Linked DNA regions of Saccharomyces cerevisiae S288C. The protein of the gene in region 1 purifies or fractionates together with the protein of each later gene. This does not show direct contact. Each region holds a gene or a part of one and is shown on either strand. Other genes may lie near its edges.

Evidence for each region.
Region 2: the proteins of MRA1 (region 1) and HFD1 purify together in Saccharomyces cerevisiae (affinity purification with mass spectrometry; 2 studies listed by BioGRID, with this or other methods). This does not show direct contact.

Annotation. Positions count from the first base shown.
Region 1 is NC_001148.4:579,428-584,690, forward strand, and holds MRA1 (Mra1p), read right to left. Parts: upstream 3,308-5,263; coding exon 3,275-3,307; intron 3,132-3,274; coding exon 2,946-3,131; downstream 1-2,945. Other genes in the region: DNA-directed RNA polymerase I core subunit RPA135, read right to left, coding at 1-1,769; MRX21 (Mrx21p), read right to left, coding at 3,635-4,615; CMR3 (Cmr3p), read right to left, coding at 5,205-5,263.
Region 2 is NC_001145.3:489,894-494,009, forward strand, and holds HFD1 (hexadecenal dehydrogenase), read right to left. Parts: upstream 2,100-4,116; coding exon 501-2,099; downstream 1-500. Other genes in the region: MYO5 (myosin 5), read left to right, coding at 1-353; EUC1 (Euc1p), read right to left, coding at 2,511-3,899. UniProt on the Saccharomyces cerevisiae protein: Catalyzes the oxidation of long-chain aliphatic aldehydes to fatty acids. Responsible for conversion of the sphingosine 1-phosphate (S1P) degradation product hexadecenal to hexadecenoic acid.

The DNA.
Region 1 (5,263 bases):
CCATCAATTTGAACACAACACAGAGAAGGACCAGCAGCAAAGGTGTGAGATGCCGGAGCAACACCAAGTGAGTATAATATAGAAGGAATTCTTGAGACGTCAGATTGCTGAGTTGATATACGACACTTGTGCGCAAAATGGTTTAATAAACCACAAGGAGAACCATCTGGTGTATGAACAGGGCACAGGAATCCCCACGACTCAGGTAGCAACTTTCTGACTGTGGTAGTTTTCAATTGCGCAAAAAAGGAGCCTCTATGAACCATTCTAAAATGAGAGATAAAACGGTAGAAGTTAATTTTTTCTGCAACCACAGTATAACCAGAAACTTGTTGTAAATCTAACCCAGACTGGGACACCAGGTTACCAGTTGATAAAAAGTATTGCATTTTGGAACCAATGTTTTCATTAACCCTCATTAAAACTCTTGACATGTACCTTTTGTCTTTGAAATTAATGGCCATACCACGGTTAATATCCATCCTGACTTGAGCAATAATATTCTGTAAGTACTCATCAATCTTTTCTTTTAGGATCATACCATATAAGAAACCACCCAAAAGAACTTCTTGATGTTGCGTAGCATCTGGGTTATCTGGAGAACATTCGCCTGCAACCAAGGAATACAACTTTCTGATCATGAACAATAACATTCTGAATTTATCCTGGCTGCCATCCTTACCCAAATGCACGAGAACGATGCGATCAAGGACTTCTTGTCCGACTTCTAAATCAGATTGATCAGGGGAAGCTTGAAAGACAACACGAAATTTGTCTCCTAAATATTGCAAGACTTGTGTGCGATTTTGTAAATGAGGATATCTTTTCTTAAAACCACGTAACAGTAATTCTAAACGATCGGTCAAAAAGGAATCCTTAACGTCATTACCAATAATACCATCAAAAATTTCCCTATCGCTGGTATGACACAAGGCTTTTAAAATCATAACAACAGGAACTAAATATTCATTTTTTCTCCAAGAAAATCTAAATGTAACTTGACCGTCATTTAAGTAATGCAAAACATTAGTTTGGGAAGTTTGATCCGGCCTGACAGATCTAATTTGAATACCGTAATGAGAATAGGATGCACCCCTGTTAGCGAAGGAAGGTCTGATGATAGCCATAGGATGATTTCTACGTTGCACAATCAGCATTCTAATAAGCTTTTCTATACCGTTAACAATGAAATAACCACCTATTTCATCGGATTCTTCCTTGTGTTGTACCAGTTCATATGGTGACATCTTGTTCAAGTGACATCTGTTACTCTGTAGCATAACTGGTAGACCACCACAATCTCTTACTTCAAATAAGTTCTCCTCGCCATTGTTCACGGACCACTTCAACTTTAAAAGTAATTTACCTCTGTAAGAAGTAAGCCTTTGTCTTGACTCACTTGGGTAAACTTTTCTCTCTACTGCAGAAGAAACACCATCGTTAGACATTGGCTTCGCAATAGACACTTGTTCCACACTAACAGAAAGCTTATTCCCGAGGTATCCGCTGTTGGATATTTCGTCTTCAGAATTGAGTGGTTTTCCATCAAATATAACTTTTTCACCGATGTCTTTAACACCAAGATTTAACAAACCTCCATCCGGACCTTCTGTTAATGCGTTAAAAGACCCAATATGAGGTTGAACAGCTTCCTGTAATAGTGGAAATGCTGATTTATCCTTAGGTGGATTGATGAACCTAGATTCACGTTCTAAGGTACGGAAATCAGCAGTTCTGGCTTGGCCAGGCGGCTTAATCACTTTGCTCATCTCACCAAATGCGTAATTCTACGTTTATTTGTCAATATTCTTGAGGAAGACTTGCTTGAATATTACGAGACAGCTGAAGTAAGTTTGAATAATTAAGAGATGAGATGAGTCTCTAAGATGCGCTTGAAAAATTTTTCATACGAAAAAAAAAAAAAAAAAAAAAAAAAAACACTCGCAAGAGTAATCTCAATAATAATTTCCGTCATTAGCGATTATAGCATGAAGGGAGGCCGAGAGGCCGCTTCTGCGGTATGATAATTAAGTGGTAGTGCAGAGACTCAAAAGGGCGCTGAGAATCTATTAGAAATGCCATTAAGTGCTTTGAACTCTTGTAGCATGTCTGCTTCTGTAGATATAACACTCTGATGCAGATTTATGAATAATTTCATCACTCGATGTCATCAGCGTCTTCCTTCATTTGATGCTTTTTTGAAGTTTTCATGGCATGATTTAGCATTTGAAATATAATGAGAAAAGAGCCCTTTAACTTACAGAAGTAAATGTACAAAACTTAATCGGAGGAAGAAGCTTAAACATACAAAAACAACAGCAGGATGACTACAAAGAAGCCGTTAAACAAATCTTTTTGTCTCCGTTACTAATTCACTAATATAGTAATTTTGCTAACCTCTATCGTCATTGAAACTGATTTGTCCTCGAGAAGGCAACAATCAAACTGCAAAAGAAACGTAAAGCAACGACTTGAACAAGTAATCGCTAACCACATATTGAGATAAGCAGATAATCGCTGTTAAACGTCGTTGATACAGTCAGTCAATATGAATAGTGTAGTATTTTATCGTTAGGTTCACCTTCCAAATATTCGTTAGATAAAGATGTTTCGGTTTTTTATTTCAACAAAAGAGCCTTGTTGGCGCAATCGGTAGCGCGTATGACTCTTAATCATAAGGTTAGGGGTTCGAGCCCCCTACAGGGCTTTCTTTTTTATTGCATGGTCTATCATCAGGTTCCCTTAACCGCTGCCAAGAAAGAGCACGTGTAAAAATGGAATGATTATACATCAATTAAACATATAGTCATGGTGGTGTTGACATGTATATAATATACATTAGTTTTGTCATATTTGAAGAATAAATAATATTTCGATTTGTTCCCGACAATTATTGAAAATGTTTTAAGTGTAGATATTAATATAACAAATCATCAACATGGTTTTTAATCCTTATCTTTGGCAAGGACTTCATCTAAACTAGATAATTCTGGGTTACCTGTCAATCTCAAAGTCTCGTCAGTTCTTAATTTCTTATATGTGAAGTATGTCCCAGAGCATAAAGCTACACCAACAGCGAGAAATAACGGTGTTAATTCGACGGGTATTTTGTAGCCACCAGATGTTTTTTTCTAGTTTTTTGTTAGTATAATACTCTATAATCTTGTAGTTAGCATTCATAATCAACATAATTGTTTTCTTAGAAAGCATCAAGTCAGAATGAACGCATGATTATCCGTTTGTCACAATAAAAAGAAAATATCCCTTAACATACAGCTGTATTCAACAGTAACTGTGCTGGTCTCATTTTTCTATATTTTTCTTTTTTTAAAGTATTGTCAGAAGTCGTTCAGGAAACTACCAAAATTAAATAAGTCTCAAAACAAAGTTAGCTTATACTGGTATGGGAAGAGTTATAGTTGCTTTTGAGGAGATGGCGATGCCTTTAAAGTCTGTTCTCATGCTCATCATAAAGTACGGGAAATCCCCCGCTTTGTACGATATGATTGGCCCATACTGCAAGACCGATATAAAGAAAAATAGACAAGTTAATGCTATATACAGGATGTCGTTCTTCAGCGGAGGGATCGCGTCATTACTTGGTTTTCGCTGACCCAAGCCTGTCACCTCAAGCTCACCAATTTCTTACAGAATCACATACAACTTCGTAAACTAGCCAACTCACTGCAGTTGAAGGAACAACTTTAAAAAGGTTTGCAGCTAAGCCTTTGTAGTAACCGCTAACGCCTTCTGCTCTGCCGATTGTCACGAGCGCATCCCAGACACTCGTGTATCTAAATCCCAGTTCATTTCCGCCCATTGCGAGAACTTGAAATCTTCTTCTTAGCAGATCAAAGGGATAAGTGATTGTTTGCGCAACCCCTCCACTTATGGCGCCAATTGTTAATTTATAGAGGTTACTTTTCCAGGAAGGCTGAGCATCGGAGGAATTGACACCGAATTCTCTCAATTGTTCGTAAACTGCAAAGTTTAGTGCTACATATGGAACAACACCAAGACTCGTTGGCCATACACCCCTATATAATCCCCTGAGACCGCCTTCGAGTCTGTAAGTTTCGCTTAGTAATTGCCAGATCCCCGGAGGCTTTGATATACTTTTTGCCTTTGAGCGGTTTAAACTGCTCAAATTTGCTGTCTGAATCGATAGTCTTGTTTTGATCAAGTCCAACGGGTAAGTAGCCACCACACTACAACCACCACACAATGCACCACTGAATAGTCTTTGGGTGTTCGTTAGTTGTTCTTGTCCATTATTGCCATTTACATGGAATAACTTTTTCTTACAAGCTTCGTATACTACAAACTGGACTGCACTATAGGGAAAAATTCTTATGCAGTTCAAACCATTTCCTCTGAATAAACCTTTGGTTCCCTCCTCATGGTAAACCTGCCGTATAGAGCTAAAGATACCTCGGTTATAAGAAGTGGTTGAACTTTGAACTTGCAGCAGTATTTTAACTCTCTCAAAAGGTGAAACAACGGTTCGGGAAACCGCGCCAGCTACTCCACCAGCTAGAAACGCAATATTTGAATCCTGCTTGAGAAAATCTTTAATTGAGTTCGGCTGCTCGAGGACGGTCAGTACTTCTGCCATGTTAGCGAAATAACGATTAAAAAATTTGAAAGTCAATACTATGAAACAAGGAAACGAGCAACTTGGTATACTTCCCTCACCTTTGTTAAATTCACTTGGCCTTACTGGCAATCATAATCATTTTGACGAACTGCGGACATCGAGAGTACCCTGCAAATATATCTAGAAAAAGAGGTAAAAAAATATTGAAGGGTCAACCTGAAAAAAATTGAAAAGTGAAAATAGATCTGCTGATAAATAATGCACGGCTTGCATCAAGTGATCACATGGAACTTTCCCAATACCTCAACTACGCATTTTCCCTTGCATATTATATCATCATCCATCTTCTTTGCCTCTCATATATTTACGAAATAATACATAAACATAAAAACGTCTTTGTGCGTCCAAGTAAACTTGAAGACGCACTCCCGTTATATAAAACTGGGAAGAACACTAACAAAGAAGGTGACTTGCGCTTAATTAGTTTTATTCCCTTGCTTCTAAAGTCCGTAAAACATTCTATTAGAGTCTATACATAGTTTTGCCTTACCTTTGAATATGAGTTCTAAAAATTCCATTGCAATAAAGCTTTCCGTTCCTATTGTTTCTATGTAGTGTTTAAGACTTTGTTTCTTTTCCTTTCATGGCTTTTCAAATGTCTCAGCA
Region 2 (4,116 bases), on another chromosome or scaffold:
CTGAGTTACCTTTAAAGAAAGGAGACGTAATTTACATTACAAGAGAAGAACCAAGCGGTTGGTCTCTCGGGAAACTTCTGGATGGCTCTAAGGAAGGTTGGGTGCCAACAGCTTACATGAAACCACATTCCGGAAATAATAATATCCCTACTCCTCCTCAAAACAGGGATGTTCCTAAACCCGTTCTGAATTCTGTACAACATGATAACACCTCTGCAAACGTTATTCCAGCTGCAGCCCAAGCAAGTTTGGGTGATGGTTTGGCGAATGCGCTTGCTGCTAGGGCCAATAAAATGAGATTAGAGAGTGATGACGAGGAGGCTAACGAAGATGAAGAGGAAGATGATTGGTAATCAAAATGTATTTAGCGAGTATATACTCTATACGAGCAAATAGAGTAAATTGTAATTAATAAATATTGATATATTATCGCCCATATGAAATTTTTAAACGAAAGGTTACTTATACATCAAATAATTAATTAACCTTAAACATTACGTTCAGGAAGAACAATGAGCGTAAATGGTACTAATTAAAATAACGGCGGCAGATAATGAAAAATATTGGCGTAACCCCCACTTGTTATTGCCATTTCTGTCAAACCAAGGTTTTCTTTCCATCGCAAAACGGACGAGCTTTTCCTTTTGTGCGCTATTTGGAGGGTATCTCATAAAAAGGGTAAAATCATTCCAATATGGTTGTTTAAAAATTGTTCTTTCATGACTAAAGGTATTGAATCCATAATATCCACCATAGTTACCATAACCTGAAGTACCGATCCCTCCAAATGGAGCGTCGGTAATTCCTACATGAATCACTGTATCACCGACAACACAGTCACCAGATCTTAAGCGCGTCAAGATACGATTTATTTCAGTTTGGCTATCAGAGAATATGTATTGCACCAATGGAGTGTCATGTTCTTCTATTATCTTGTTAATGGTCTCATCAAGATCCTCGTACTCAATGATGGGCAATACAGGAGCAAAGTTTTCCTGTTTCATCAAAGGATCATCCCAACCAATGTTATAAACTATGGTTGGTGGTACAAGGCATAGATCCTCAGTATCTGAATTGATAGAAATTTTTGAAGGCACAATCTTGGAGCCGTTAGTTGAGTTTATACTTGCAACGGCCTTTTTGTAAGCAGGCTCATGAATCATACGAGTGAAATCTGTTTGTTCATCAAAGCTTGGATAAAATTCATTTAGTACTGATTCACACTCTTTAATGACTTTTGGATAGATAGATTTATGTACTAACAAATAATCTGGTGAAACACAAATCTGGCCAGAATTTCCGAAAGCACCAAAAAAAATCCTTTTCAAAGCAATTTTTATGTTACTTGCTTTGAAATTTTCTGTAATAAAGGTAGGTGATTTACCACCAAGTTCAAGTACACAAGGTGTTAGACTTTTTGCTGCTTTCTCAGCAACTATTGATCCGACACGGGGAGAACCTGTGTAGAATATTAGGTCAAATTTTCCACAATCTAGTAGTCTTGTAGTTTCATCTATAGCTCCCTGAACTACTTGAATCAATCCATCAGGGAAACCAGCTGTGGTTAACAAATTTTCCATAACTACAGCAGTGTGTGGTGTTAGTTCACTTGGCTTCAGAACAATGGTGTTACCTGCAGCAAGAGCTGCTGCCAATGGGGCAAATGCTAAAAGTAGGGGAAAATTGAAAGGAGCAATAATCAAGACACTGCCCCTTGATATTTTCTCCACGATTGTTTTACCAAACATAAATGGAGGAGAAGAATCAGATACTCTCCGAGGTTTGATCAATTTTGGTAAAATCTCAATTAGGTGAAGTATATCGTTCATAAGTTTGGTCGTTTCATTCAGAACCGATTCAATTTTGTTCCGATGAAAGTCCTTGTACATAGCATCGATCAGTTCTTCCTCATGATCTTTGACGGCATAATAGAGTTTTTTCAACTGCAACTGCCTGAATTCTAGATCTTTTTTCCTTGGGTTATTTTCGTGGGACAATTTCAATTGTTTCTCAAAGAAGAAATTTCTTGAGATTTCAACTATTTCATCTATTTTAGACACTGGGGTATAATTCAATATTTTTGAGCCGTCGTTTGACATGTTGGTGATAAATTACTATGGCTATGGTTTTAGAATATTCCTTTTAGATAATCAATATGCCTGAAGTTTTGTTTTTTATATATGGAGTATCCGTTTATCCCTAAAATCCGAAGAATCTCCTCCTAAAACGACAAAAAAAAGGGTAAGCAATCCACCATCTAATTAAATCACTAATATTAGATTGAATTTTCGAACCTATCTAAAAGTGGGATCTTGATGTAAAATTGACTGATAGATAAAAGGCTTGGAGTCGATAGTTGATATATCAGTACACCGGTAATTGTCTATTATATACCCTGTTGGCATGAAATCCATATAGGACGGTATATATTTATATATAAAATGCATGTAAAAATCTTTCATCATGAACTACTCGGAATTTTTGGCTGGAAATTCGTTGTTCCATTTCCTCTAAGTGTCTTGATCATGTTCTGGTGTGCCTGTACTGGAATTTGGTATACTATGTGGCTGCTGTAATGATAATCTAGCTTCTCTCTCTTCTAACAAGAAAATTCTTCTTGGCTTCCCTCTTCTCTTTAGAGTAAGTGAATAGTCTTCGAGTTTGTCCATTTTTTTGGAGAAGTATTCGTATAACTGGGACATTGATAATCGGCAATGATGTCCTTTGAAGGTATTGTTTCCCAATCTTATATTTTCGACAACCTTGATGGCTTGGTTTCTACTTATTTTATTCTCAGGTAGCGACAAACCATATTTGCTTGGATCATCTTTTATATCTATTATTCTTTTTATGATGGTCATTCTTTTAGTGAACAAAGTCCTTTCTTTGGCAGATCGCCTCCAAGTGGACCCATATCTCCTCTCAAGGGAAAGAACTGACGGTTGGCCCGGTAAGCCTTCAAAGTATTCACGGGCCGCATCTGTAACGTTCTGGATTGCACGATTTAGTTTATATGACGTTCCAACGCACCCTCTTCTGTTTCTGATATCATTCTCGTTTCCTGTTCCATCGAGTTGGTTATTACTGTCATCAGCATTGCTAACAGAATCGGGGTTATTTAAAGGTAGGTTCCTGGTGGTAGCGTTCTCATCACTTTCATTACCATCGTATTCCCCATTTTCAAAGTCTGACAGCCCTGGCTCAGGCTTGATACGAGGATCGCCGGCTAATATGCTTGCGTGCATACTATATTCTTGCCAGTTTGTTGATCTTGACTGACTTTGATGAGCTTGCGTACTTGTTGATGGATTTCCAACACGAGCAGCTTCCTGAGGAGTAACATTTTCCCCAGTATGGTCTATAAATCTTATTCTCTCCCCAGTCATAATACCAACTACCTCTTTGAAGACTTCTTTCATTGCGGAAACATCTTCAACATACTTATTGATGTCTTTAAATCCTTTCTCCAACTTCTTTTGATTCTCTAGAAAGAAGAGTTCTTGTTCCTTTTTCATTAGGCTGATTTCTTCCTTCAGATTGGCATTTTGCTCCTCCATTCTGGTTAGTTGTGCTATAAGAAATGCATTGAAATTTGTTTCAGGGGTTTCTTTTATCCTTCCAGGGCCTATTCTGTTGGTCGGTTCTGTTGCCGATGCTGATGTGGATGTAGACACTATGGGAGGTTGAGCAGCGTCTGTCGGTCTGAAAAGAGGATTGATACGGCCTGGGATCATGTACCTATTTAATGCAGCATGTCTTGATACTCCTGTTGGACTTGTGGTTATAGTTCGCTGCCCTAGATCGTGATTCCTGCGTTCAGAATCTCTATCTGAATCATCATCGTCCAACGAGCCGTACCCACCAAAACCTTCTACATAGTTATATTCTCGAGCGGGCATGTTTAATTAATGTGTTGACTCCTGGACTAACTTCTCGATGGCACAAAATGTAGTCTTCTGGCAAAAGACGAAGTTGATTGTTAAATATTTTAAGCTAGCAATGCCCTTTGTACTCTCGTTTGTGTTTGAGTTTCAAGTACGCTTCCTTTTTTTAATTTTTTTACTAATACTAAACTCGTTCTCTTTAGACAATACTGGTTGAAGTAAAGTAAATGCT